7 linked regions of the Mus musculus genome follow. The protein of the gene in region 3 interacts with the protein of the main gene of each other region in a pairwise test. Links are inferred from orthologs where the notes say so. Each region holds a gene or a part of one and is shown on either strand. Other genes may lie near its edges.

Region 1 (4,037 bases), on a different chromosome or scaffold from region 3:
TGTCTTATATAAGAAACAGCAGAACCGTTAACATAACACCTCGGCAAAATAAACAAAACAAAACGTGCAGATAGTTTCTTTGCATCACTATAAACCCAGTAAAGATTTTCAAAGTAATTGTGAGAAAAACACGTGAAACAAAAATGCATGCATCATCAGTAAAACCTTAAATTCAATACAGATTAAGTAAAACAAGCATTTGCAATTTGTTAATAGAAAATATTAAGTTTAAAGGAAAATTTTATTGAATATTAAAACCAAGGCTATTGCGAAAGTTCTCCTTTTCCAGCATATTAGAATCAGGGTCATGGAGCTGAAGACTGGGCATGACCGGCCTAAGGAATTTGAACTCATTCGTTCCAGTACCTCCTGTGAAACACACCTCATATTGGTAGTTCTGGGACAGGGTTCCAGTGCCAGTAACGTCCACCAGATGGCCAGGAAAGTGTCCCTCAGGCACAGAGCAGCCACCCAGAGAGGCAGCCCTGGCCCTCCTGCACAGCCTCACCCCCACAAACAGCAGCACAGACAAGAGGAAGAGAGAAGACACAGATGCCAAGGCTATGACCAGGTAGAGTGTTAGTACATCTTCTTCTTGTGCAGGGTCGCGCGCCACCTCTGGCAGAGGCAGGTAGGGCTGAGAGAAGCCATCCACCACTAGCACGTGCAGCGTGACGCTGGCAGAGCGCGGAGGATCGCCATTGTCCTTGACTAGCAGTACCAGCCTGTGCTTGGGCACATCGCGCTCGCTCAGCAGCCTGGTAGTGCGTACCTCGCCATTGTGCGCCCACACGCTGAACAGCCCTGGCTCTGTAGCCTTGAGCAGCTGGAACGACAGCCAGGCATTCTGGCCAGAGTCGCGATCCACAGCCACTACTTTGGTGACCAGGTAGCCAGGTTCTGCCACCCTGGGCAGCAGCTCAGTGCAAGGCGCAGAGGCGTTCTGCATCGGGTAGAGCACGAAGGGCGCATTGTCATTGTCGTCCAGCACTACCACGCGCACCAGAGTCTGGCTGCTGAGTGCGGGCGAGCCTCGGTCTGTCGCACCCACTTGGAACTCGAAGGCCTGCAGGACCTCATAGTCCAGCGCCCTGAGCGCAAATAGCTGCCCGTTGTCAGCGTTAATGGAGATGAGCGAGGCGAGGGCCAGCTCTGGGTCCTGAGCCGGTAGCAGCGAGTAGGTGATGTGGGCATTGGAGCCTGAGTCTTTGTCTGTGGCACTGATGGTGCCTATGTGCAGGGCAGGGCTGTTGTTCTCGTAGATGAACATGGTGTAGGAGGTTTGGGTGAAGGCCGGGGCATTGTCATTGATGTCAGATACCTGTACTCTTATGGTGTGCTGGGTTGTGAGCCTGGGTGTGCCCATGTCGGAGGCAGTGATGGTGATGTTGTACTCAGCTCTCCTTTCTCTGTCTAGTGCTTTTTCAGAAAGTAGAGTGAAAAAATTCTTGAAGCTTGGTTTCAGAATAAATGGAAGGTCATCCTGAATAGAGCAAAGGATCCTTCCGTTGTCTCCAGAGTCTTGATCTCGGACACTGAATAGAGCGACCAGGGTCTCTGAAGCATTTTCTGGAATTGCCTTTGTAACCGACGACATGATCACTTCTGGTGCATTGTCATTTATATCTAATACTTTAACCGAAAGAGTGCATTTTGCAGAAAGACCTCCACCATCTGTTGCTTGGATATTTACAGAATAGGACTGTATTACTTCAAAATCCATTAGTGATCTCAAATTGACTTCCCCAGATGTTGGGTTGATTTCAAAGGTTTTTCTAATATCTTCTGATGCATGCAAAAATGAATATGAAATTTTCCCATAAATTCCCATATCTAAATCTTTAGCAGAGATGGCAGTAATACTGGAGCCAATAGGCATGTCCTCTGGGACCTGCACCTCATAGAAACTCTGAGCGAACTCTGGAGCATTATCGTTGATGTCCAAGACTTTTATGACAATCAGTGTTGTCCCAGACCTGGGTGGAGACCCACCATCTAATGCTGTAAGTGTCAATCTAAGCTCAGATTCCTCCTCATGATCTAAAGCTTTGTCCAGAACCAGCTCCGGGTATATCTTTCCATCGCCACTGTCATGAATTTTAACATAGAAATAAGAACTGGGGCTAATGCTGTAGTCCTGAAGACTGTTGCTTCCTATGTCCAGATCTTGTGCATTCTCAATTAAGAATGTGGCTCCGATAGTAGTGCTTTCTGATATTTTAATAGTTATTTCCTTGTCTAGGAATGTAGGGGAGTGATCATTTATATCTCTGACGTGCAGCTCAGCTCGATAGAACTGTAAGGGGTTTTCCAGTACCACCTGAAAGGGCAGCACACAGGGCTGGGTGGAGCCACATAGCTCTTCACGATCCAGTCGCTCATTCAGGAGCATATCTCCAGTCAGCAAATTAAGGAGTAAATGCTTTTTATTATCATCTGACACTACCCTGGCCTCCCTGGAGGACAGCTCCGCAACCCCCAGTCCTAAATCCTTTGCCAGATTAGCCACAAAAGAGCCAATTTCTGTTTCCTCTGCTACAGAATAGCGCAAAGATTCAGCACTCGCCTGAGACAATCCCAGGAAAACAAAGAAAACCAAGACTTGCCTTTTCTGCAGGATGAGAGCCCTTCTCCTTCCCATGGTTCCTTCAGGTGACTTCTTTTACTCCAAAATTTAAACCCAGTCCCAAATTTTACAGGTAAAGGTCCGATATTTCTATTGAAAGTCCCTTGGCAGCTCTGCCGGTGAAGCTCCTGTAATACCTCTCTTCTCATGGAATCGTCTGTTCTCTGGTCCTTTAGATACTGGAGCCCACAGGGCTGGCTATGCAGTTTCATCTTATCCTATAGCGCCACCATGTGTCTCTGTGAATTTTTTCATTTAATATTTTTCTCCTAAAATTTTATGTCTATCTAGAATATTCAAAAGCAAATGTCACATAGATTGCATTTATTTCTAAATATTCATCTGTTATTTATAATTATCAAAGCCTTTAAAATATAATTACAAATCATTACCACAATAGATGTGTAGAAATACTTTTTGCATATAGCTTATAACTCAGTCTGTTTGAGCTTTCCCGTTTTTCTACAAAATGTCTTGTGTTGTTGGTTTGTTTGAATTGGAATCCAAACACAGACCATACTCTGTATGAAATCATTAGTGCTTTGAATGTTCAGCTCAAAAAGATACAATAAAGTGTCCCCAAATTAATAAAAAATATTTATTTCATGACAATTCTTTAGTAGTTACAAATATTTACCACCGCTTTGGTAAATATTTGTTGGGGTGAGTTCATTATCCAATTACATTACCATTTACACTTACACACAAACATACACTCATGAGTCATGAAAACTACACAACACACTACTTCTTTGTTAGTAGTGAACTTAAGACAAGGTAATATTGGATTCCTTGCTTTTACATTAAAAACACAGTAAGGTGCAGTGGCTCAAACCTTCAATGCCAACACTTGAAAGGCAGAAGTAGGGGGACCTATAGAGTTTAAGGTGAGTATGGTCTACACAGTGAGCTCCATGTCACTGAGAGTATGTAAGGACACCGTGTCTGAAGACACATATACACATATGCATCACTGAGAGTATGTAGGGACACGGTGTCTGAAGACACATATACACACATGCATACAAACATGTGCTCATGTGCATATGGGAGGATATGACACAGTAAGATGATCTTTCTATGGAACTTGAAGGGAATAAAAAATCGATTAGCTAGTAACTAAAGATATAACACTGCAGAGGTAAAGAATAACAGAAACATCTTGAAGAGACATGTAACTGCACCCTAGGAAATGGATAATATTTAGGAACACTGAATCATGGTTCTGTCACTCACGCTCTATAGACCTGGAGAAAGTATGTACCTTTGTCTCCTTATCTATAGTGTTGCCTCCAAAGGTTTTAGTCACTGAAATTTGTAAGCTGACATTTGCAGAGCAACCAGAAGAAAATTAACTAAAAGTCTTTTAAGAGAAAACAAGTAATTTATGTGGCATTACCTCAGTAGTGAT
Region 2 (4,226 bases), on a different chromosome or scaffold from region 3:
CCTGTAGATTGTGCAGGGGTAAAGATGGAGCAGAGGGAGAGGGAATGGACAAGCAATGACTGGTCCAGCTTGAGACCCAGGCAATGAAAGAGAGATCACCCCTGAAACTGTTAATGACATTCTGTTTGCTGTACTTGCAGACAGGTGCCTAGCATAACCACCATCAGAGAGGCTTCACCTAGCAACTGATGGAAACAGATGCAGAGACCACAGCCAAACATTAGGTGGAGCTTAGGGGATCCTGTGGAAGAGAGGAAGGATTGAAGAAGCCAGAGAGGTCAAGAACACCACAAGAAAACCAACAGAATCAACTAACCTAGGTTCATAGGGGCTCACAGAGAATGAACCCCCAACCAGGGAACCTGCACGGGACCAACCTAGGCTCGCTGCACATGTTACAGTTGTGTATCTTGGTCTACTTAACAGTGGGAGCAGGGGCTGGGTCTGACTCTTTTTTTTTTAATTTTTTTATTATTTATTTATTATATGTGAGTACCCTGTAGCTGTCTAAAGACACACCAGAAGAGGGAGTCATATCTCGTTACGGATGGTTGTGAGCCACCATGTGGTTGCTGGGATTTGAACTCAGGACCTTCAGAAGAGCAGTCAGTGCTCTTAACCACTGAGCCATCTCACCAGCCCCCTGGGTCTGACTCTTGTTACCTGATTTAGGGATCCTTTCTTCCTCTTGGGATGCCTCCTCCAGCCTTAAAAGTAGAGGAGGTGCCTAGTCTTAATGCAACTCGATATGCCATGGCTGGTTGGCATCCATGGGAGGAGAGAAAGGGAGGAGTGGATGGGGGGGGGGAATACTGGGAGGAGGAGAGGAGGAGGGAGAACTCTGGTCAGAATGTAAAGAAAATTTCAAATTTAAGAGAGAGCGGGGGAGAGACAAAGAGAGAGGGGGAGAGAGAAGACACCTAGCACACAAGTCCACCCAGGTTTGGTGATACATGCCTACAGGAGACACTTGGGAGGCTCAGGCAGGGAAGATTTTGAGTTTGTGGCTAGCCTGGACCACTGGATTATACTGACTTTCAGTCAAGTCAGTCTCGAAGTCTCTCTCAAAACACTCTTAATGACTACCCCAAAAGCAAGGCAGTCACTGGCTTTTAGCAACAAACCTGCATGCTCTTCCTAGGGCAGGAGAAACTAGGGGCTCCCACGGGCTCCTTTCCTGTCAATCAACTGGAAATTAAAGAGTCGATTTCTTTCTTTGGAAGAAAAGGTGGGGGAGGAGGCATTAAAGCTTAAAGCTTCAAGTCCAGGAGATGAAAACAAAACAAAACAAAAACCTGCCAGCTGGTCCCAGTTTCAAAGTCAAGTCCTTGTTCCCTAAAATCATGAGTCATGGAAGGCAGAGTCAGATGGGTCTGTATGAGTTTGAGGCTAACCTGGTTTGAATATCGAGTTTCAGTCTTGCTTCATAAGACCTATCTCAAAAAATAAAATAAAAATAAAATCACATCCCTAAGAAATTTACTTCTCTAAAAATCATTTCGTTAACAACTAAATCCCTCAACTGAACGCGATATCATTTGATTTCAACCGGATACACGCTGAATTCTAACTTTCCTACCCCGACCTTACCCTTGTAAATGGATCTTCGGTTCCCAAAATGGAGAAGTTGTAAACAAATTTCAGAGAGCAGCTATCATGTTTATAGAATTTAGTTGATGAAAGATTAAAACAGGTGACGCCTTGGGAGGCAGAGGTAGGGGGCAAATGTTCAAAGTCCTCCTTATTAACTTATTATTAAGTTTCAGGGAAGCCTAGTCTGGATGGGACCCACGGGGGGTGGGGGGGTCGCTATTCCGTCTTTATAACTTTGTAAAATATGGTTTCGGATCAGTTAAAAACCAGTTTAAACGTCAGACCAAATCCTAACACGCCAAGCCTTTATCGCTGTGGTAATGGAATGGTAAAGGAAGAATGTAGTTGGCGTGTTTGATTTTAATCCTCACACCATGCCAAAGTTTTGAGCCAGTGATTTCACACGGCCCCCCATTAACTTTTCGTTAGCCTAGCTGACAAGAAATGAACAGGCTGAGATTGCAGCCCGTTTGTCTTTCCAAGCTCACCATGTGAACCAGGCAAAAAGAGGGGTATTGGTAGAAAAGCCAGGGGCACGAGCAAGAGTACGGATCAGTCTAAACTAAGTCCTGATTGAAAGAACTGCTAGAACTCAGGGGAAGGAAGAAAGAAGAAAAGAACAGTTTTGCATTTTCAGCTCTCGGACTCGTTCCAGAATTCCGCAATGACTGCCAAATGCAACGGCCTTGGAACCAATTAACCATCACTCGCGACCTTCCGCGTCGACTCCCAAGAGTGCCCTCCTTCCAGCTCAGTTCTGATCCTACTCGTGAAAGACATGGGGGAGGGCGAACGCATTGCAAGTAAGGGAATCGAGACCCCAGGGGAGCAGGGCGAGCTGGTCCAGGGTAAACTCCAGGGGAGCGGCTCAAGAGTGCTGGCGGCACGGGATGCACAGCGCATTGCAAATGAGGGAATCGGAGGCCCTTGGGGAGTAGGGTGAGCAGGTTCGGGGTAAATTCCAGGAAAGAGACGCGAGAGCGCTCTGGCGACGCGGGGTGTGCAAAGCGCCTGCTCAGCTGGGGACCCGATCTTGGCCTCCGCTCTTGCCCGCCCACCCTGGAGACCCCAGCCCGCCCCACCGCCGCCTGACCTGTCCCCGCGGGGTCCGGGTGCGCAGCGCGCCGCCTCCATACCCGCCCGACCGGTGGCATCAGCGTCCAGACCCCGAGACGCCGCCGCCCGGCTGGAGAGGATGGAGGAGATCGGGCCCCGCCCCTGACAACCACACCCCGCACTGTCGCCGACGCCCATTGGTCCAGTGCCCTACGCTCCCCTCTCACTGGCAAATGGCGTTAGCCATGATGCTGGAGGGTTTCCAGGGGGCGGGAGGCACCGGGAGGCGAAGGCGCGTGCGCTAGATCCGGGAGCAGCCCCCCGGGGTTGGGTCGGAAGAGTCTGCTGCTCCATTCCACCGCTCCGGGACTGGCCCCCACAGAGCGATCCCCAGCACCCCTCTGTGGCACCGAGAACATCCAGGCTGCTGCCTTGGGTTTTCTACTCTTTATCACCTGAAGCCTCAGCATCTGACCACCGACTCTGGGATAGCCGAGGCCTTCAGCCTCCCAAACCAGCCTTTGCCCAAAGCCCGACTGAGGGATCCCTACCTGGGGACCTTCAGCAAATGTCCTTATTTAGTGAGGGTAGCAGCTAAGCTGTCCTCTCTGCAGTAAATCATGCCTCCAGCCATCAATGCCTTTGTGGCTTTGGTCCCTATAGGACTTTATGACCAGAACTATAGCATATAAACTTAATTAGTAAGGCCAAAGTCACACTGATGTTGAATCCAAAAATTCACTTAAAAAATAATGTATTTATTTTGAGACAGGATTTCACTATACTATCCTCGGTTGGTCTGGAACTCTGAGATCCTACTGCCTCTGTCACCCTAGTGCTAGAATTAAAGGCATGTGCCATCGTGCCCTAGGCTATTATGTGTATGTTTCACCTATGTGTATGTCTGCATATCATATGCATCCCTGGTGCCCAAGGCTGTCAGATACCCCGGAACTGGAGTTACAGATGGTTGTGAGTCACCATGTGGGTGCTGGGAATAGAACTCGCGCCTCCGGGCATCCAGGGCTCATAACTGCTGAGCCACCTCTCCAGGTCCCAGAAATTAATTTTTGAAAACTAGGGAATATGATACCTGCACACATAGGCTAGGAAAGCATTGCACTCACTTAGCCCCTCTCCCTGTGGGACTCTGGATTGCTCCTTTGTGTGTGTGTGTGTGTGTGTGCTACAAATCTTCACTCATAAGCTCTGCTTGGTCTAGAAAGGGCTAGTGCTAAATGAGTAGGGTTGAAAGAGATGCTATTTGAATGAGTAAGAGGACCACTGAGACAGGCACATCCACACTACCCACACTAGAGTGTGAGCTTCCACTTTATGTACACATAGGATAAGTTACTGATAGGAATCCATTTCTCCACCACATGTGATAGCGTCATATTTCTTCCACTGTAAACACATCTCAAAACACAAACCTAAAGTACTCATCCGTCCCCTAGCTCTCTGACCCCATCGTATTCACCAACACAGGCCTGGCTTGGGACCCTTTGAGCCAAGGCTGTCAACCATTAAAAACCAGAGCTCTCTCTTGATTTTCTCCAGTCGCTGAGCCTCACACT
Region 3 (3,500 bases):
TTTGGTGCATTGTAAGGACAGGCTAGGTATTTCAGGAGCTGTCATGATACCGCACACACCATGATCAGCCTTCCTGTCTGGTCCTCTGCTTCTGCCCAGACCCTCACCTTGCTCAAGAAGTAGTCACCTCCTCCCACTCTTCTTCTTGCCACACCAGGAGGGATGCTGTGGGTGCCTTGGAGAACAGAGTGGACCTTGGCCAATGTCCTGTGAGCCCCTCTGTGGTTACAGATGAGCAACATTAGCCCATGGGCACCTTAAAGCCCACCTGACCTTCACCCCTCCTAAACACAAGTGCTGAGATGGTCCCATCAGAGGAGATTTCATGTGTTTTATGATCTCTGCTCCACTGAGATCAGGGTGAAGGCATGTCTCCTAGTGAGGAGCAGTTATACTGTGAAACTAGACTTCAGCTAGAGTTTCCAGGTCTCCTGAGAGCCAAGCTACAGACTAGCAGGTTGTGTTGCACGTTTGCACATTGGTGATAAATGCCGAAAGTCAGAATCATTCTAACCTGTGGTCACCTTCCTCTGCAAGGCTAGCCTTGACATTTTATCTTTTAGGATTTGCATTTGTATGTCTGCTGTGCGGATGTGTGCAGGGGCCCGTGGAGGCCAGTGGTGATGGCTAGGGCTGGGGTTACAGGGCTGCGAGCCATCTGATGTGGGTGCAAGAACCAAATGTGCTCTTAACCCCTGAGCCATCGATAAGTGCAGCCCTTGGCCTTGAGGTTTTGCCTCTTACCACCTGGATGGCTTTTGGCCTCAGTGACTCAGTTTCCTTATCTGTAAATGGCTTGTGGGCCCGAGGCGGAAACCATTCAGGCTATCCTCATCCTGAGTGTGTCAGCACTGGAAGGTTAGGACTAAGTGGTCAGCGGTTGGTCACTGGCAGAGGCCTGCACATCTGCATATCTCATGGCTCCCAGGCTGTTGCTACTGCTCCATGGTCTTGTCAGGCAAGACACCTGGCAGTAACTAGGACCCCATAATCCTCCTTAGGGCCTGGATCTCCAGGGGTCCTCTCAGGTTGCCACTCCTCCTTGGCCTCAATGTCCCCAACTGTTCAGAGAGAAGAGGAAGCCCCCATGGAACATATTCATCCTACCCCGGAAGGAAGCACAGGCAGGTGGGCTTCCCTTACAGTTCACCCAGGGAATTGGTTATGTGACAGGTGCCACATGACTATATTACCACCAGGGGGCGGAAGAGCGCCCTGCAGAGAGGCAGTGAAAGCTTGCAACAAGGGCGCTACTTAGCTCTCGATGCTGAGCGTGGAGCAGGCTGTGCCACCATGCGTTTGCTTTTGTGTCCTTAAGAGACGTAGTACCCCTAAGCCCAAGCTGGGAGCGCAGAGGCACATCTCCCTCACATGCACGGCCTGATGTCACTCAGCTGCCGGAGAGGCTCTGGGAAAGGACGGAAGCTGGTGTAGCCAGGCAGAGACTCCTCCTACCTGAAGTTAAGGATGCCGCTTCTGGGAAGGCGCCACTGGAAAACTCTTCCAAAGTGCAACTGGGGTTAGAGGAAGACCTAGTTCGGCTGCTGGTGCCTGGGGGATGTCCTGGGGACTGGCGGAGTTTGCATATGTGTGAGTGTGACAGGCATGTTAAGCTCCTGACTTGCGCCAGGCTTCAACGATGCCTTATAGTGAGTGGACTATCATTCTCAAAACCACTTTGTGCTGCTAACTGCTCACCATAGAAGGGAAGTCAAGGCAGAGGGCCAGGTGGCTTGCCCAGGGTCACACAGTGAATAAGTGGTAGAGCCTGGCCATCTGGCTACAGGGTGTGCTGCTTTTGTGTGTGGAGACCGGAGTAAGAGGCCACCGCAGATTTCCTAGGTTGGTTCCCACACACACTATCTGCCCCCTCCTCTGAATGGAGCACATGCCTCTCGAGGGCCCTGCTCCTGAGAGCTTGGACTCGCGCTCACAGTTTCCGTATTGGCCCCAGGACTCCGATACCCACCGATAAACAGCAGTGTGTGCTGGCCGAGCCGGCATCTCTGCTTGGCCCTCAGCGCTACCATGCTCTGGGGTGAACAAGGCTGCCGGAGAGAATCCAGGGCGCCCAGTGTGCTGTTCAAGTAAACTGAGCAGAGTGGGGATTTCTGTGGGAAGGGGGTGGGAGCAGTTGGGACAGAGTCTTTTTTTTTTTTTTTTTTTTTTTTGGTCGCTTATGATGACCTTAAACTTGTGGCCTGTCTGCCTCTGCTGCCCAGGTGTCACCCCCACTTGCCCAGGGGCTTCCACTTTACCTGGCAGCCTCTCCTGCTTGAGCACTGTTCTAGCTCCCATACAGCCTCCTCCTTCCCCTCCCCTTGGTACCCAGCCTGAAGCAGATGCCATAGCTGTCCCTGGCTCTGTCCCTGCCCACCTCCCAGCCTTTCCTTATGCCTTCCATGCCACCTGCTGGAAAGAGCTATAAAGACCTTCCCCTGCGTCAGATTCATCCAGGCAATATTGAGTATAACCAGGTGCCTGCATGGGCGGAAGTCTCATAGAGGCTGGGAGCTTCCTGTGGACACACCCCTCTTCTCTGGGCTGCAAAGACATGGGGAGTGAGAAAGTGGGGGACAGAACTGCCGTAGCAAGGAGGCTTTCCCACCACAGCAAGGTTCCACTGCTTTTTAATTTACAAAGAAAACTGTTTTCTAGAATGTCAGTTGGGGGTTACATGAATGATGACCATGGCCAAAGGTCCCTTGCATCCATAGTAGTCAATATGGCTTAGGGCCCTCCCTCCAAAATAAAACACCATGGGTCAGGCAGGACGCCAGGCTCCTGCAGCATGCTGTCTACTGACCTAGACTTCTGTTTTGCAGTTCCCTGAGGACCTCCTTTGACTCCCTGAAGCAGCGTAAGTTCCAACCATCCCCACATGGGCAGCAGGGCCATTAGGGTCTCCTGGAAGACCCTTAGCCCTTGTATGGGGTGACTAAGTTAGGAGCTATGTGCTTGGGCTGTGGTCCAGCTCTGTGCCAGGCTGAAAGGCTGATGGAAGATGTGAGGGTGGGAGGTAGGGTGAGGGAGACAGACTGGTCCAAGCAGAGGCCACGCTGTCACCCTAGAAACAGAGAATGTGGGCAGTGCACACATCCAGCTGGCCCTGGCCCTGCGTGAGGAGCTGCGGAGCCTGGAGGAGTTCCGAGAGAGACAGAAAGAGCAGCGGAAGAAGGTGAGGGGGTGGGGAGGGCGAAGGAGGGGAGGTGGGGGACCCCCCCAGAGGCCACCCACTCACTGTTCTGGGGGCCAGTTGGGAAGCATGGCTTGATGAAGGGGGGAGAGTGTGTGTATGTTCTAGCTTGCTTTCCTGTTGCTGTGATAAACCCCTGACTTGGGAAGAAAGGTTTATCTTCTCAGGTCACACTCCATCACTGAGTGAAGTTAGGGCAGGAACCTAGAGGCAGGAACTGGAGCAGAACCGAGAGAAGGAATGTTTCCTGGCTTTGCTCCCAGCTCATGTTCAGCCCCGGTTTTCTCACATAGCCCAGGTCTAC
Region 4 (4,299 bases), on a different chromosome or scaffold from region 3:
AGCTGGTACATTACAGCCTGAGATCACAGGGACAAAGATCTCTGGAAGGCCTGGTGGAGACTCTTTCCTGTAAGCGTACCTCATCACTGGGCTATGTGGGCACTTTGTTCCATGTTGTGATGGTAACGACATACCTGAACTGATAGCGGATATGCTTCTGGTTGAGTCCTGTACTCCAAGTCATGCAAACCCCATGGAAAAGTTCCTCCATGGTGAAGAGAAACCGTCTTGAATATTACACCACAGAAAAACTGGCAGATTTAGACATCTTTTCCTCTCTTGAACACATTTCCTTACGGATGTTCTCAGAGGAACATCGTGCTCTAGCTTAAGTGTGAGAGTGATAACCTACATCACCATTATATTTATATTTTAGAGAAATGTCTAAAAATGAAGCCAAGTCAATAAAAATAAAGATTTAAACTTTCATCCGGGTAAAGTAAAAGCCTTCTACTCAACATGCCATCCTCTCTGATTCCTTTAGAGACAGGACATGAGGTGCAAGCTTTTGGCTTCCATTTTTCGTTTGGTATTTAAGTAAACGACATCTTTGGTTCCGGAGGAGCTTTAAAAATGTGACTTCTGATAAATGCTGGCAGAACTGGTGCATTCCTAGAATAAATTCTGTATGCTCAGCGATTTCTACTCAAGCTCACTCATAGGTCGTCTGATCATGCAACTGCCCACCACAGAATAGGGTGAAGAGAAATCTAGGCATGGCAGAAGGTTTAAGTATTAAGTATTAAGTATTAAATTACGTAAACTATATTCATTATATTGAGATTTCACGGCTAGAGTCAAATTGTTAATCAAAAGTAAGACTGATGTAACAACGACTCTTATGGTATACCTGGACTTTACAATTTAGAGGGTTAGGGAACTAGAAAATTGCACACAAAAGGGAACTCCATTATTCACCCTCCTTCCCTTTCCAGCACGTTTCAAATCCAATTGTTCTTGCTTTTAAGATCACTGCTCTCAGTTTTCATTCTGTCCTATAGGGAAACCTGTGACTCTCTGCCCCTCAAAGTAGAAGCTTCCTAGGTCTGCAAATACCAGAAAGCATCTCCAGGCGAAGTTGTATCTGCCTCAGGAGCGAAAACACGGTAGGTGTAAAAAAGACATATGAAGGGGGTGGGCTGTAAATCTTACACTTGTAGCTGGAAAAACAAAATGAGATCCCCTCCCTGCCAAATGCCCGGACAGCATTGTGACCTCGGCATAACGCTTCAGTCCGACCTGGAGCAGCGCCTCCGCCAGCACTGAGGGTGGGCCCGCGTATAAATTGGCTGGGATGCAAGGTACCTAGGGAGCCCGGCCTGGCCCCGCCCCGCCCCGCCCCGGGCACCCGCGCGCTAGCCAATCGGACACGCGGGCCCCTTCCCATCGGCGACTCCACCCCCGTGCCCGGGATGTTGGGCCCCCGCGGCGTGACGCGAGCACGGCGGCTCCGCCCCCTGCGTCTCGGGCCTCGCTGGCCTTGGGGGGATGGTTTCATCATGGCGTCAATGCAGGTGAGCGGAGCTGCTGCAGCGGGGAGGGCGAGGGGGCCATCGAGACGAGGTGAGCGTCTGCGCGGGGTCGGCGTCCGAGACCTCTGGGCCTGGCTCCGGGCGACCTTCCCTGACCTCGGGGCGTCGGGGGATCGCCTGGCGGCGAGCCGAGCGGGGGTGTCGGCCGGTGGCCGCGGACAGTAGCGGCCGCGAAGTTGTGGCATAAAGGCGGCTTAGGGGGAAGAAAGGGCGAAGTTCGTCGTGCGCTTCGCGGTGGGGGCTCCGCTCCGCGCCCCTACGCGAGGATGCCTGCCGCTCGGCTCCCTGGCCACCGCCGGGATGCTTTTCCCCTCGCGCTCCCCAGCGGGGTGGAAACAGCTGTGCCCGCCGCCGTCACCCGCGGTCGGGGCGGCCGGAGACCGGCAGAGCCCCTCGCCGAGGACGGCCGCCTGCCCACGGCGCTCCGCGGCCTCTGCCCGGCCTCCCACGCGCAGCCTCGGATCGCCGGACTCATGCTCGTTCTTCTCTGATCTTCATCCGGTGCCCGGTGGGTGCCTCCTTCTATCAGCCCGCACTCTGGGCATTCCCTGGCAGCCCACGTCTCTTCTTCGAAGCCGCCCTTCGTCCCTGTCCCCAGCGTCCTGTGCTACCACAACGTGCGAGCTCGTGGGCCTGCTCCTCGGCCTCGATAGAAACTCGCCCTCTTAAATTTTTTTTTCTTGCGATGCCCCACCCTTGCGGGATTGGTAAGGCCGTGGCTCCTTTGCCTTTCTTTCCCAGACCTTTAAAACCTTAGTTTGGTAGGAGACGCCTGTTAACCTGTGCTCTGTCAGACTTGAAGGTGTTTTTTGTAGCTTCCAACTTAATGTATTCCCCCCCCCCCTTGCAAATCCAATAAAAGAAAAAATTTTCAGGCAAAGATGGCAACCACAATTGTAGTTTCTAGAGATTGCATTATCTATAGCCGGCATTTAATTTGCAGATAGGGCTAGCGGTGTTAAAGCACATAGGAAGAGAGAGTAGAACTCTTGTAGCGTGTCAGCGGAACGCTTTTTGGAGTTTTAACATCATCCTCGAGTAACATCCGCATTTTCCTTAGAATTTTTGGTTTTTGTTTCTAGAAGAATAAGCAAGATCTCGTTGTTGGCGCTTCTCTGCTAGCAATGGTTTGCATTCTTACGCATTTCCCTCCTTCCCCTGTATCTTCCTTCAATCAGCTTTCCTTATGGTATTCTTTTTGCATTTGCTTGTACTTTTGGCCTTTCCTGCAGTAGCATTCTTAGGTGAAGAGGTGTCACGAAATGGTGCAGTGAAACAAGAACAATTTCAGGAAACGTTATACTTTACTAGTCTCCCCAGAGACGTTAGAGAAGTTTCATCATTTGAGGCCAAAAAAGGAACTGTGGAACATCAGTTGACAGCAGATGGGCTATATGATTGCTTTAAGATTTTTATCTGTATTAAGACATTATTTGTTACTAACACTTGACGGTGATCTGTCTTAAGATACAGGCATTATTTAAGACTAAAAATGAAGATTAAAATCCACACTGGGATTGTATCTGGCATGAGAGCTGGTTAGCTTTTATACTTAGTTTTTGGAAAAGGCAGATTTGTTTGTAAGAGATTGCTATTTTTGGAATTTACTTTGTCTTCAGCAGTGGGGGAAAGTGCTTTTTATGCCTGTTTCTATGCCTCAGGCAGTGCTGTGGAAGAGTAGCAGCGTCTTTCTTTTGTTGGATTAGAGTGGGAACGGATCCTTTCTGTTCTAAAGTTAAATCTTGACCTTTTATATGTATCTCTTTTAAAGTATCTGATCATTTTTCCTGGAAATAGTAGCATTTTGACACAGATTTATTTCTTATTTCTTAATTGTGTATGTTATCTCTGGGTGGGTATGTGGGTATGAAAGTACCTGTGTAGGCCACACCTGCTCTGGATCTGAGTTACAGGTGCTTGCCAGGTATTGGCTATGGGTGCTGGGAATCAAACCAGGGTCTTCTCAAGAGTAGTTCTTTCTCTTAACTTCTGAACTGGCTCTCAGCTCAATAGCAGAATCACTCTTTGGTGTGGTTTTCATTTGGTATCTTTGCTCAAAGTTTATTTCCTGACCATCTTTACAGCAGAAGTTAACTCTTTTCAAAATAACTTAACATAACACTATAAGTGATCAAATGTGTTCATTAATTCATCTTACCCTAGGGGATATTGTTTTTGCTAAAGAAAAGGTTACTTAAGCTGCTGTATTTTAAAAACATGCATACATATGTAATGTGGGGTTTGATTACTTGGTAACAATGAAATAATTTTTATATATAGTAAAACCAAGTAAGGAAAGTCTTCACTTCTAACTAGAGAATGTGGACTTTGAGATTATAATTACCTTTATGTTTTTGTTTTGGCTTTTCTGGAACTAGACCAGGCTGACCCTAAACTCTCAGGTCCACTTGCCTCTGCCTCCTGAGTGCTGGATGAGATTAAAGGTGTGCGCCACTACTGCCCAGCTTGCTTTTATGTGTTTTATCTTCATTCATTGAAACCGGTTCTTGCTGGGTAGCCTATGCTTACCTCACATTTGCGCTCTTCCTGCCTGGGTCTCCTGAGTCCTGGGCTTGCAGGTTGTTCCACTGTGTCTGACTTTGCTGTCATGCATCCTGCCAGTGCTTCTCAACTTTCTTCCATTCACACTAAGTACAGTAAGATAGATGACGATGTTGGCGGCTGGAAGAGCCCAGCCCGGAAGCTGGCTAGGAAGGTGAGGGATACAGGGTTTTGTTCTCATGCCCATGTGCTGTGGGGAAGCTGC
Region 5 (3,500 bases), on a different chromosome or scaffold from region 3:
ATTATTAGTCTGTCTTGGTCACTGTGTTAGTCAGGATTTCTATTGCTCTGACTTAACACCATGAACAAATACAACGTGGGGAGGAAAAGGTTTGCTCAGCTTACACTTCTATGTTGCTGTTGAGTACTGAAGGAGGTCAGGATAGGAACTCAGACTGAGCAGGGACCTGGAGGCAAGTGCTCATGAGAGTTCATGGGGGAGGCCTGCTTACTGGCTTATTTCCCATGGCTTGCTCAACCTGACTTATTATAGAACCAGGACCACCAACCCACAGATAGCATCACCCACCATGAGCTGGGCTCTAGCTATTGATCACTGAGAAAAGGCCTTACTGCTGAATCTCATGGAGGCATTTCCTCAACTGAGGCTCCATCCTCTCTGATGCTAGCTTGTGTCAAGTTGACACACACAATCATCCAGTACAGTCTTGTCACAGCATTCTTCCCAGCTCATTGTAAGGCTACCTACTTTCTGTCTGGCAAGCGACACACAGTCTTTCTTCTCACTGACTGGACTAATGATAGCCCTTTAGTTGAGTCATTTCTTTTACTCAGGTTGCACATTTTATCTCTAGTTAGTACCTTAACTCCTACAAGTGTATCAGATATATCAGTTATTCTAACTATAAAAGTATGTATTGCATAGATAAAAGGGATTTGAGAAGTTAAATAATTTGCCTATTTAGTAATTGACAAATATAGAACTTGCATATTGGAACTGAAACCCAAGCTCTGTTCTTTCTACTGACATCTAGAATAATCAATCTTAAAAGTTATTGAGGGGACTAAGGAGACTGCTCCAAGGTTAAATGCCCTTGCAGAGCTCCCAGGTTAGTTTCTAGCACAGCGCTGATGGCTAGCCACTCACATTCCACTCAGATCTAAAACTCTCTTTGACCATGGGGCATGAGGCACACACAGCATACATATGTCCGTGGACTCATAAATGAAAATAAATAGTTTTTAGAGTTACTGAGGCATCTTTGGATGTTTAATTTATGCGGGCTATCACTTTCAATATTTACTATAAGGTTAAAATTGGGGAAAAAATTTAAAGACGTGGAATACATAGCTTACAAGTTTGTAAATACATTCTTCTAATTACTGAATTTCTGCTTTTCTTTTTTTTAATATTTATTTATTATTTATATGTAAGTACACTGTAGGTGTCTTCAGACACACCGGTAGAGGGCATCAGATGTCATTATGGATGGTTGTAAGCTACCATGTGGTTGCTGGGATTTGAACTCAGGACCTTTGGAAGGACAGTCAGTGCTCTTAACTGCTGAGTCATCTCTCCAGCCCCTGAATTTCTGCTTTTCATGTAGGAATCCCGTCGGCTCTATCAGTTTCATTACGTGAACTGGCCAGACCATGATGTTCCTTCGTCATTTGATTCTATTCTGGACATGATAAGCTTAATGAGGAAATACCAAGAACATGAAGATGTGCCTATTTGTATTCATTGCAGGTACAAAATAATTTTCTAAATGTAGAGAAGTACAGTGTTTATGTTTTGTGAGATAAGGTTTTATTTCTACATTAATATGATGTTTTATTATATCTTGAGCTTTTCCTAGCCCTGTTATGGTGTGTTTGAGAATAAGACCCTGTGAATTGATATAATCTAATCTGGTTAATAGACTGTCTAAATGTTGCTGTAAAACATCATATTTCCTCATATGATCAGTGTCAGGCAAATTTTCATGAGTGATGAAGTCTCAGACTTTAAAAACTGTATATAGATATAAAGGCCTTACTGATCTGAGATCCCGTGGTCTGCAGAGAAGTGCTGGGTGTAGGGACACGCTTATAACCCCAAACCAAGGAGGCTGATGTGAGCTTTAGCCGCTCAGGGCTACCTCCCGATAATGTTGTCCCTTAGCAGAAAGAAGGGAAGGAAAGAGAGGGGACAGACAAAGCCTTACCTGACACATACTAAACATGAGAGTTTAAAAGAATTCATTGCTAGTTACACAGCATAGATGTCATTTGTAAGATATACCTGAATTTCATAGCTCTTACGATGTAGATTGTAAGGTGTTTTCCAAGTGACAAACATCCTGTGCTGGATTTTGTTCCCGAGGAGCAAGCTGCCATGTCTGTACCATTGTTGTCATACCCTGAAATTATAGTTTACAAACTTCTGAAATCTTAAGCAAACATGAAACGAGCATTCTTTTTTTTTTTTTTCACCTTTTAAGGAATTATGGTGGGTGATATTTATTGTTAAATATTCTAATCTCCCCACTTTTTTTTTTTTTTTTTTTGAGAATTGAAGGCTTATCACTGCATCTTATGTAGGCCAGGCTGGTATCAGACTTATTAAATAGCCAAGGCTATCTTCCTTGCCTCCACTCTTCTGCTTGGATTATAGATGTGTGCTATGATACCTGACATAGCATTTTTGTAGTAAGTTAAATATAAACTGTTGGTATACATTTACTGGACATCTTTATTAAATTGTGCTGTGTAGCATTGCCCAAAGTAATGACCTGCCCCTTAACAGGCTTAAGTTTAGCTATATCTCTGTTAAACTGCTCTGTAAAATGTTTTCACTCTTTCCAGGTAATACTAAGTTCCAATTAGTCTTTGCAAATTTAGTCATGTTGAGACATAAGAAGTCATGTAAACACAGCCTTCAAATTCTGCCATTCTTGAAGGGGTAACTAATTTTGTGTTCCGAGTGCAGGTTAGAGGTTGTGTTAAATAAGAGCAGGTGTTTTTAACTGAGCTCATTGACCTGTTTTTATTGTCTGATTATTTTTCCTACTTATAAGCCATGAAATATTTTAAATGAAAAGCAAAGAAACATTCCAGTTGGAAGGAAGATAGCCTTAATTTTTTTTCATATCTGGGAAATTAAGAATGTGTGCCTAAACATTTATAGGATTTTTATGTCCTTAAATATTGTGACTTCTTTGTTCCCTGTCTCATCTGACAGACTTTCTACTCCAGTAAACTCCGTATTATTTATGATAGAACTAACGAGCTCTGAAACACTTTTCAGAAAGGTTTGTTAATGTTCTGTGGCTTCTTTGAATGACCACTACTCTTTTTTTAAAAGGCGGGGTCTTAATAGCCAAGGTGAGCCTTGAACTTTTACCTCCCCATTCCTAGGATACCAAAGAAGGAAGAAACACCTTACCTAACTTAGTTTTAATGTAAAATTATTCAAAGGCTCCCTAAAGTGGCTCATGCCTATAATCTCACTGCATAGCGACTGTCGGAGCCCAGCCTGGGCCGCAGAGTGAGACTATGTCTCACAAAGACGAAGAGAATTAACAACAATACAATCCTAAAGGAGCAAACCAACAAAAACCCAAAAACCAGGGAGACAGCAAAGGAAACAACTAAGCTAGGTTTTAAACACAGGAAAAATAGCTGCTACTTGAATTGTATGTTTTTTCTATTGCTGTCATAAAATATCATGACCCAAAATAAATTTAAATAAGAAAGGGTTGACTTAGCTTACAGTTTCAGAGGATGAGTGTGCATAAT
Region 6 (3,932 bases), on a different chromosome or scaffold from region 3:
CCAAGAACTGGCCAATTCCAGACAAGTCCAGGCCTCAGAAGCTGCCCCACCACCTGGCCTGAGGCAAGGACAATGGGTAAGCAACAGTTTCCAGACCTCCCCAGTAAGTTTCCAGCCCCCGCAGCCCTGCCATGGAACGTCCATAGAGATGGACCTCACAGATTAACATAGAGGTCACCTGCCCCGGAATTTCCTAATGTGCTTTAAATCAAACCTCCAAGTTAACATGGGTGTCTATTTTGGTAATTCGAGACTCCAGCATGCTCAACTTCTGCATAATAAGACACTCTTTGAGTTTTCATACTATTTGAGTCCGGAATATCATTCTTTGGCACCCCTACTGGGCAAGCATGAGAACCTGAATTTGTAGCTCAAGAAGACACATTAAACCATGGTGGTGCACACCTGCAATCCCAGCACTCACTAGGATCTCTGGAAGGTCGATACCAGCCTGGTCTACATTGTGTGTTCAAGGCCAGCTAGGGATGTACAGAGAAACACTATGTTCCTCCCAAAATGATAATGATTTTTTTTAAAGCAAGGATTAAAGCTTGATGGCCCACAGTGGCCATCCAGCAGTGGAGAAGCCGAGTCGGGGTCTAATGCAAGTTCATGATCGGCTAGCTTCAGCTGCCACAGAAGCCCATCTCAAAACAGGAAAATCCCAGAGATTTGTTTTCACTTCCTGTCGCCAGGGAACGCCAGACCTGCCGTTCGTGTTCAAAGATTCTATTTGAGTTGGTAAAGACAAAGAGATCCATAAGGGCAAGAATGGAAGGCTAGAGCTGGGCAGTGGTGGCGCACGCCTTTAATCCCAGCACTTGGTGGGCAGAGGCAGGCGGATTTCTGAGTTCGAGGCCAGCCTGGTCTAGAGTGAGTTCCAGGAACAGCCAGAGCTACACAGAGAAGCAATGTCTCGAAAACAAAACAAAACAAAACAAAGAATGAAAGGCTAGGAGCGCAAAATAGGCACCGCGCGACTCGCATGCATTAGCCAGCTTCGCCCACAGTGTGGCGCCGAATTAGGCGCCGAACCAGATCCAGGAGAGCACCTCTGCGCAGGCGCCCTTTCCCAACATACACCCCGTAGTGGGCGTAACTTGTGCTGCGGCCTTTTGCGTCGTTCTAGTGTCGCACTTTACGGCTACCTCTCAATCCCACCGTAGAAATACGGTGAGGCCGTCCGTCTTGTTCCGTAGGTACCGCCCTAGCCCGTCCCGATTGGATAGATGTCCGTTGAGCTGCTCGCTGATTGGTCATAGTTTCTGCCAGTCTTTTTCAGTCTGGGGCGCGCGGTGGGCCGCCGGTGGGAGCGCGTGTGTCTGTGCCGCGGCGGAAGTTATCGCTGCAGGGAAGATGGTGAGGGCCGCGAGGCGGAGGGGCGCGCGCAGGGTCTTCGGGCTGCTGAGAGATGGGGGAAACTGAGGCCGGAGTGACCGGTGTCCCTCCAGGGCCCCAGACGGTCACCGTTGGGGATTTATCTCTTGATGGACACGGTTTTTGCGACCGGAAGAGGGACTATGATCGTTTCCGGGGCTTGTCACCGTCATTGATAGGAAAGCTGCGTTTCCGGGAAATGGGCGGGCTTAATGGCTCACGTGGGCTTCGTTGCCCTCTTGATGCTTATCTGGTGTCTGACCTCAGCTGCCCACGCCTTTGGCTGGAAATCCAGCTCAGAGAGCGGGTTGATTCTCTCCCTGGGACACACAGCATGTCTTGCTCAGGAAGAAAGGATTTTTTTTTTCTCCTAGTTTAGGCTCAGGCCTCCTCAGTTTGGGGACTCTTAGACCTGGCATAAACAAGTAAAGGAGGCCAGGTTTCCCCCTGCTCTGTCGAGGGGCGCGTTGGCCTAAGTGAGGAGAGCCACATATTCCCATCTCCCCAGTTCTTGATGGTAGGATATTTGGTTTGTTTTTTGGTTAGGCTTTCTGATCTGAACTGACATAATCCAGGCTAACCTCAAACTCCTGATCCTCTTGCTTCAGTCACTGGAGTATGGAAAGGACACGTGTATACTCCACATTTGAGTCAGGATGTGAGGCAGGGTCTCATATAGCCCAGGCTGCCTTTGAACTCCATTTGTATACATGCATCACTGTGAACTCCTGACCCTGCCTTTACTCCAGAATGACCCTGGGTTTTGTGGTGCAGGAACTCTAGGCCTAACACATGCTAGGTAAGCACTCCCCACTGGGTGTACCCTGAGCCTTCCTGAAGGGATGGCCAGGTGCGTCCAGGACTGGACACCCACCTCATGCAGGTGCGCACAGACACTCCCATATCTCTGCGGTCAGGCTGGTACAGGAGTGTCCCAGCTGAACATTCCTGAACTCAGAGCCCTAGACTTGGTTCTTTAGCTATCTCATCTACACACTGGATCCCAGAGAGTCTGGATGATGGCTGAGAAGGAATTTCCCTTCCTGGAACTGGCTCCTCTAATGGGAGGTGCTGGGACTGGATTCCAGAACGGGTGGCTATAACACCTGCAGCTGCTCTGTGTAAAGCTATGTCTCCTCCACTCAAAAGCCTGTGACTATCCCAGCTCCAGCCTCCCTGTCTGCCCTGGCCCATTTCACTCTGAGCTTTTTCTTCCTTCATTTTGGGGAGACATTCCTAATTACTTCTTTCATTCCTCTCTCCCACTGCACACACAGTAGGGGAGTGGGGGGTTGTGGTGGCCTGTCCCTACACCACACTTTTCTTACCTGTGGCACTGGACAGGATGCACCTGTGCTGGGTGTCCCCACCCCTGCGTGTTCAGCAAGTGTTTACTGCTCCTCCCTGCTGCAGCAGAGCCCACGCCCACACTGACCTTGTGTCTAGCCAGGGAGACTGATGCTAATCACCCATAATTAGAGAGCGGCTTCAGCTGCTGAGCTGGAAACAGGCTGGCAGCCTAGGGTGGCCATTAGGGTCCTGACCACAGGAGGGGACATGCTCAGCAGGATTGGGCAGAGAGTCTAGGGAAGGGCACCCTGGGTGGTGGCTGGGGCCCTGGCAGGAGGAACGAAAGTTGAGCAGTAAGGCTGGACCTTGCCATCGCTGCCTCCAGGCTGTGCTGGGCCATAGCAGTTCCGGAAGAGCTTTGTGTGCCTCTATTCTTGTTTAGCAATGTTTGCCCTTGAGCCCTTGCTGTGCCTTGTATTTGGGAGTTTGACTATTCTATTCCTTTATTGAAACAGGATCTCATGTAGCCCAGGTTAGCCTCACACTGTAGCCAAGGATAACCATGGCTCCAACTACCTGGAGCTTAGCCATAGGATGCTATACTGTGGCTCTTTTCTGCTGTTTATTTGAGGATCAGGGTGGACACCATTGTCACTGATCACCAAGGCCACCCACCCACCCACCAGCCATTTTCACAAAAGTCATCCTCTGCCTCCTACCCTTCCAGGAAGCCTCTGCAGGAAGTGGGCTAGAGCTTCACTTCCCTGCCACTAACTCCTCCCCGCCCCTCAGCTCTTCTTGGGAAGGGCCTTGTACTGTAGGCTCCCCCAGTCCTCTCATGACCCAAAGTCCCCATGCTGGGCATGATGGCCCTGAGGATCTGGGGCTCTTGTTGTTTGTTTCTTCTGTTTTTAAAATGATTTATTTTTATTTCATGTGTTTTGCCTGCATGCATGTGTCTGTGAGTGTGTTGGATCCCCCTGGAACAGGAGTTATAGATGTGTGAGCTACCATGTGGGTGCTGGGAATTGAACCCAGGTCATCCAGAAGAGCAGCCTGTGCTCTCACCTGCTGAGCCATGTCTCCAGCCCCTCGTGTAGTTGTTTGTTTGTTTCACTGTGTAACCCAGTTGGCCTGGAACTTATAGATAATTCACCTGCCTCTGCCTCTCAGTGCAGGGATTGAATGTGTGCACTGCATGCTTGGCTGTAATTTGATTTTTGTGTATTTTGAAGACAGGTCTAATGTAGTCCAGGCTGATCTCA
Region 7 (2,532 bases), on a different chromosome or scaffold from region 3:
AGGTGATGGCTCCTAAGATCAATCCAGTGGCCCGAGTGGACCAGATTTGATATTGTCACCCCAACCAGCCTCTTTCCCAGTTTGCAGCTTCCTATCTCAGACCCTGGTCTCCTTTCTAAAACAAGCAGGGTTAAATTTTTATTTTACCCCTGCTCAAGGGAAGTGGCCAGTGTCCATTGGGGCACCTGGGGGACTCGAACCTCTGCTCAGGTAGCTCTGTAGGACATGAGCCAGCGGTCATGTGGTAGCTCACATGGGTAGAGGACCTGAGAGGAAGGTGAAACCTTTATGCTGCTTGTCCAACATCCTTATGTGCACATGTTTGTGGTTTCTGTGTTTCTGCCGCGACAGATCTAAGAAGAGGCCTCAGATTCCAGAGGCCAGACCAAGTGACTGTGTAGCTGAATCAAAAGACACCACTTTGTCCTGCAAGTCTCGGGAGGCACTTGGGTCCTACTTCCATTAAACACTAGACGGAAGAGTGGGCATGCTCACCTGAAGAAGATAAATCCACACAGCTTTTTATTGGAAATGACGAACTCTGCCTTCTTAATTAGGGGGCGGCAGTGAAACACCATCTCCACTCCCACAGGGAGGTTTTGGCTGAACTCGGGGTCTGGGTAAAGGAGGGCCTTTCTGCTGGTGAATCTGTGTGCCTGATGGAGGAGGTCTCTTCTTCTGCTGGTGCTCACGGGTACGGTGGCCTGGAGGCAAGGGACGATGGCCAGGTGTCTGGAGGTGATGGCCAGGTGGAGGAGGAGCTTGGAGCGCCACTGAATTCTGCGCTGCTGCGGCTGGGGTTGAGTGCGGCTTGGGGCCCCTTTCCACAGTGCTTGTTCTGGAAGCTTTTATTTCCAGCTCTTCATCTATAATGGCAAGACGTTTTAAGAACTCATTCTGACAATAGTGAACAATTTAACACGGGTGTGCAAATGTGTGTGTGAGTACATATGTAGATAAGCATGTATGTGTGTGCCAAGGGATAACCTCTGATGCCATTTCTTAGGCACTGTCGCCTTTTCTTCTTTTTGAGATTAATTCTCTCTCTCTCTCTCTCTCTCTCTCTCTCTCTCTCTCTCTCTCTTGCTCTCTCTTACTGTCTCTCTGTCTCTGTTTGCCCTGCAACTTATCAAGAAGCCCAGCTAGGCCCAGGGAATTCACCTGCCACTGCTCTGGGGTTGCAAGTACCACCTTGCCCGTCTTATGTGGGTTCTGAGGAGTCTACTTCAGTCCTCATGCTTGAAAAATAAGCACTTTAGAAATGGAGCTGCCTCCCCAGCCCCACGATGCGGCCACTGAACACGCTTCATGTGATAGGCATCAAACCAGCGGCTTCAGGAGATGTGAAGAGGAAAGGGAAGTTACTCCCACCCTCTTCAAGTTCTGGGTGTGTCAGGGGAGAGAGAAACGTTGGCCATAGATACCCTGAGACCTAGGCCTCTTTAGAACTCAAAAATATGAGGGAAGAAGACACCTGGGTGGAGAGCTTTGTACTTAAGGCTCTAGAGTGTTGGAGTGAGTATTGCATCTGGGAGTTGTAGCTGGATGCTGCCTAGAGATAATCAGCAAGGTTGCTAAGCAACAACCCTCAGGGCCCGAGCCCACTGAACCCAGGTCTGAGTGGTCGTGAAGGGCATCAGAGACTATACATCTTCTGTGAAGTCTCTACAGTAGGTCTGCCTTTTGCTCAATTTGATTGTCACACAAGCCACATTCTGAAAGGAAACTGGAGTGCCCTCTAAGGGACAATCTAGCCCTGAGAAATGGGCTAGCTCTTCCAAAATTCGTAAGCAAGACCCGGCTCTTGGGCTTCAGTGGGAAAGATGGTTCCTTTCCCCACGCTTGGGGATTTTCTTCTTTGTGTGGCTTCTGTCCAGGAAGACAAGCCTGAGACTGTGTCGATCTTCTTACACTGTTTTTAAGCCACACAGAAAATCTGTGGGAACAGGCAGCTGGCAGAAGCCTGGAGCCACTGCTGGGCTCCTTCAGGGCACATTCTTGGTATTCCACTCCCTGTGCCTTAGCCTTCCTCAAGGAGCCAGGGGGAGCTTCTCTGCGGGGTAAATGAATGGTTGCCTGTACCCTTTTAGAACATTTGTCTTGAAAAGCATGTCTCCACATCACCAGGGGGCTGACATATGGACCCCAGGTAATACACTGGCTACTGTAACTACTGTAAATGCACTACGAACACAAAGCCTCAAAGGCAAACAAGGTGGCTTTGACACCTGAGGGACCTGCGTGCTCTAAGCACATACATAAAAAGACACCCAAAAGACAGAACATGTCCTTTATGCCATGTTCGGTGCCCCAGAAGTGCCTGAGGTGTTTGGAGGGGTATAGGTGAGACTTTGACCCTAATCCAGGGTCCTAGACACAGACCAGCAGGTGGTCCTTCTTGCACAGTGGCACGCTCCCATGACTCTCTGCTGGCTCTTCTGTTTGTGGCATTTTTTTCCCCTCCTGTGCTTTCTCTCGTGTTCTATGTGTTAGGCCCATTGCTACACCTCAGTAATGACTCAGGCAGCAACA

Evidence for each region.
Region 1: the proteins of Pstpip1 (region 3) and Pcdhb20 interact in binary tests that used the Homo sapiens proteins (3 or more experiments, as listed by UniProt). The two-hybrid records come from large-scale screens. The link is inferred for Mus musculus from reciprocal best matches to the Homo sapiens genes PSTPIP1 and PCDHB14.
Region 2: the proteins of Pstpip1 (region 3) and Tulp3 interact in binary tests that used the Homo sapiens proteins (3 or more experiments, as listed by UniProt). The two-hybrid records come from large-scale screens. The link is inferred for Mus musculus from reciprocal best matches to the Homo sapiens genes PSTPIP1 and TULP3.
Region 4: the proteins of Pstpip1 (region 3) and Ube2w interact in binary tests that used the Homo sapiens proteins (3 or more experiments, as listed by UniProt). The two-hybrid records come from large-scale screens. The link is inferred for Mus musculus from reciprocal best matches to the Homo sapiens genes PSTPIP1 and UBE2W.
Region 5: the proteins of Pstpip1 (region 3) and Ptpn12 interact in binary tests that used the Homo sapiens proteins (3 or more experiments, as listed by UniProt). The link is inferred for Mus musculus from reciprocal best matches to the Homo sapiens genes PSTPIP1 and PTPN12.
Region 6: the proteins of Pstpip1 (region 3) and Lsm4 interact in binary tests that used the Homo sapiens proteins (3 or more experiments, as listed by UniProt). The two-hybrid records come from large-scale screens. The link is inferred for Mus musculus from reciprocal best matches to the Homo sapiens genes PSTPIP1 and LSM4.
Region 7: the proteins of Pstpip1 (region 3) and Cd2 interact in a two-hybrid assay, tested with the Homo sapiens proteins (2 studies listed by BioGRID and IntAct). The link is inferred for Mus musculus from reciprocal best matches to the Homo sapiens genes PSTPIP1 and CD2.

The regions. Positions count from the first base shown.
Region 1 is NC_000084.6:37,503,027-37,507,063, reverse strand, and holds the start of Pcdhb20 (protocadherin beta-14 precursor), read right to left. Parts: upstream 2,801-4,037; 5' UTR 2,642-2,800; coding exon 242-2,641; 3' UTR 1-241. UniProt on the Homo sapiens protein: Potential calcium-dependent cell-adhesion protein. May be involved in the establishment and maintenance of specific neuronal connections in the brain.
Region 2 is NC_000072.6:128,353,052-128,357,277, forward strand, and holds the start of Tulp3 (tubby-related protein 3), read right to left. Parts: upstream 2,801-4,226; 5' UTR 2,728-2,800; coding exon 2,687-2,727; intron 1-2,686. UniProt on the Homo sapiens protein: Negative regulator of the Shh signaling transduction pathway: recruited to primary cilia via association with the IFT complex A (IFT-A) and is required for recruitment of G protein-coupled receptor GPR161 to cilia, a promoter of PKA-dependent basal repression machinery in Shh signaling.
Region 3 is NC_000075.6:56,117,476-56,120,975, forward strand, and holds part of Pstpip1 (proline-serine-threonine phosphatase-interacting protein 1), read left to right. Parts: intron 1-1,001; exon of another isoform or gene 1,002-1,051; coding exon of another isoform or gene 1,052-1,128; intron 1,129-2,825; coding exon 2,826-2,860; intron 2,861-3,071; coding exon 3,072-3,178; intron 3,179-3,500. UniProt on the Homo sapiens protein: Involved in regulation of the actin cytoskeleton. May regulate WAS actin-bundling activity. Bridges the interaction between ABL1 and PTPN18 leading to ABL1 dephosphorylation.
Region 4 is NC_000067.6:16,616,452-16,620,750, reverse strand, and holds the start of Ube2w (ubiquitin-conjugating enzyme E2 W), read left to right. Parts: upstream 1-1,499; coding exon 1,500-1,514; intron 1,515-4,299. UniProt on the Homo sapiens protein: Accepts ubiquitin from the E1 complex and catalyzes its covalent attachment to other proteins.
Region 5 is NC_000071.6:21,007,412-21,010,911, reverse strand, and holds part of Ptpn12 (tyrosine-protein phosphatase non-receptor type 12), read left to right. Parts: intron 1-1,327; coding exon 1,328-1,470; intron 1,471-3,500. UniProt on the Homo sapiens protein: Dephosphorylates a range of proteins, and thereby regulates cellular signaling cascades. Dephosphorylates cellular tyrosine kinases, such as ERBB2 and PTK2B/PYK2, and thereby regulates signaling via ERBB2 and PTK2B/PYK2.
Region 6 is NC_000074.6:70,672,099-70,676,030, forward strand, and holds the start of Lsm4 (U6 snRNA-associated Sm-like protein LSm4), read left to right. Parts: upstream 1-1,132; 5' UTR 1,133-1,356; coding exon 1,357-1,359; intron 1,360-3,932. UniProt on the Homo sapiens protein: Plays a role in pre-mRNA splicing as component of the U4/U6-U5 tri-snRNP complex that is involved in spliceosome assembly, and as component of the precatalytic spliceosome (spliceosome B complex).
Region 7 is NC_000069.6:101,275,408-101,277,939, forward strand, and holds the end of Cd2 (T-cell surface antigen CD2 precursor), read right to left. Parts: intron 867-2,532; coding exon 550-866; 3' UTR 501-549; downstream 1-500. UniProt on the Homo sapiens protein: CD2 interacts with lymphocyte function-associated antigen CD58 (LFA-3) and CD48/BCM1 to mediate adhesion between T-cells and other cell types. CD2 is implicated in the triggering of T-cells, the cytoplasmic domain is implicated in the signaling function.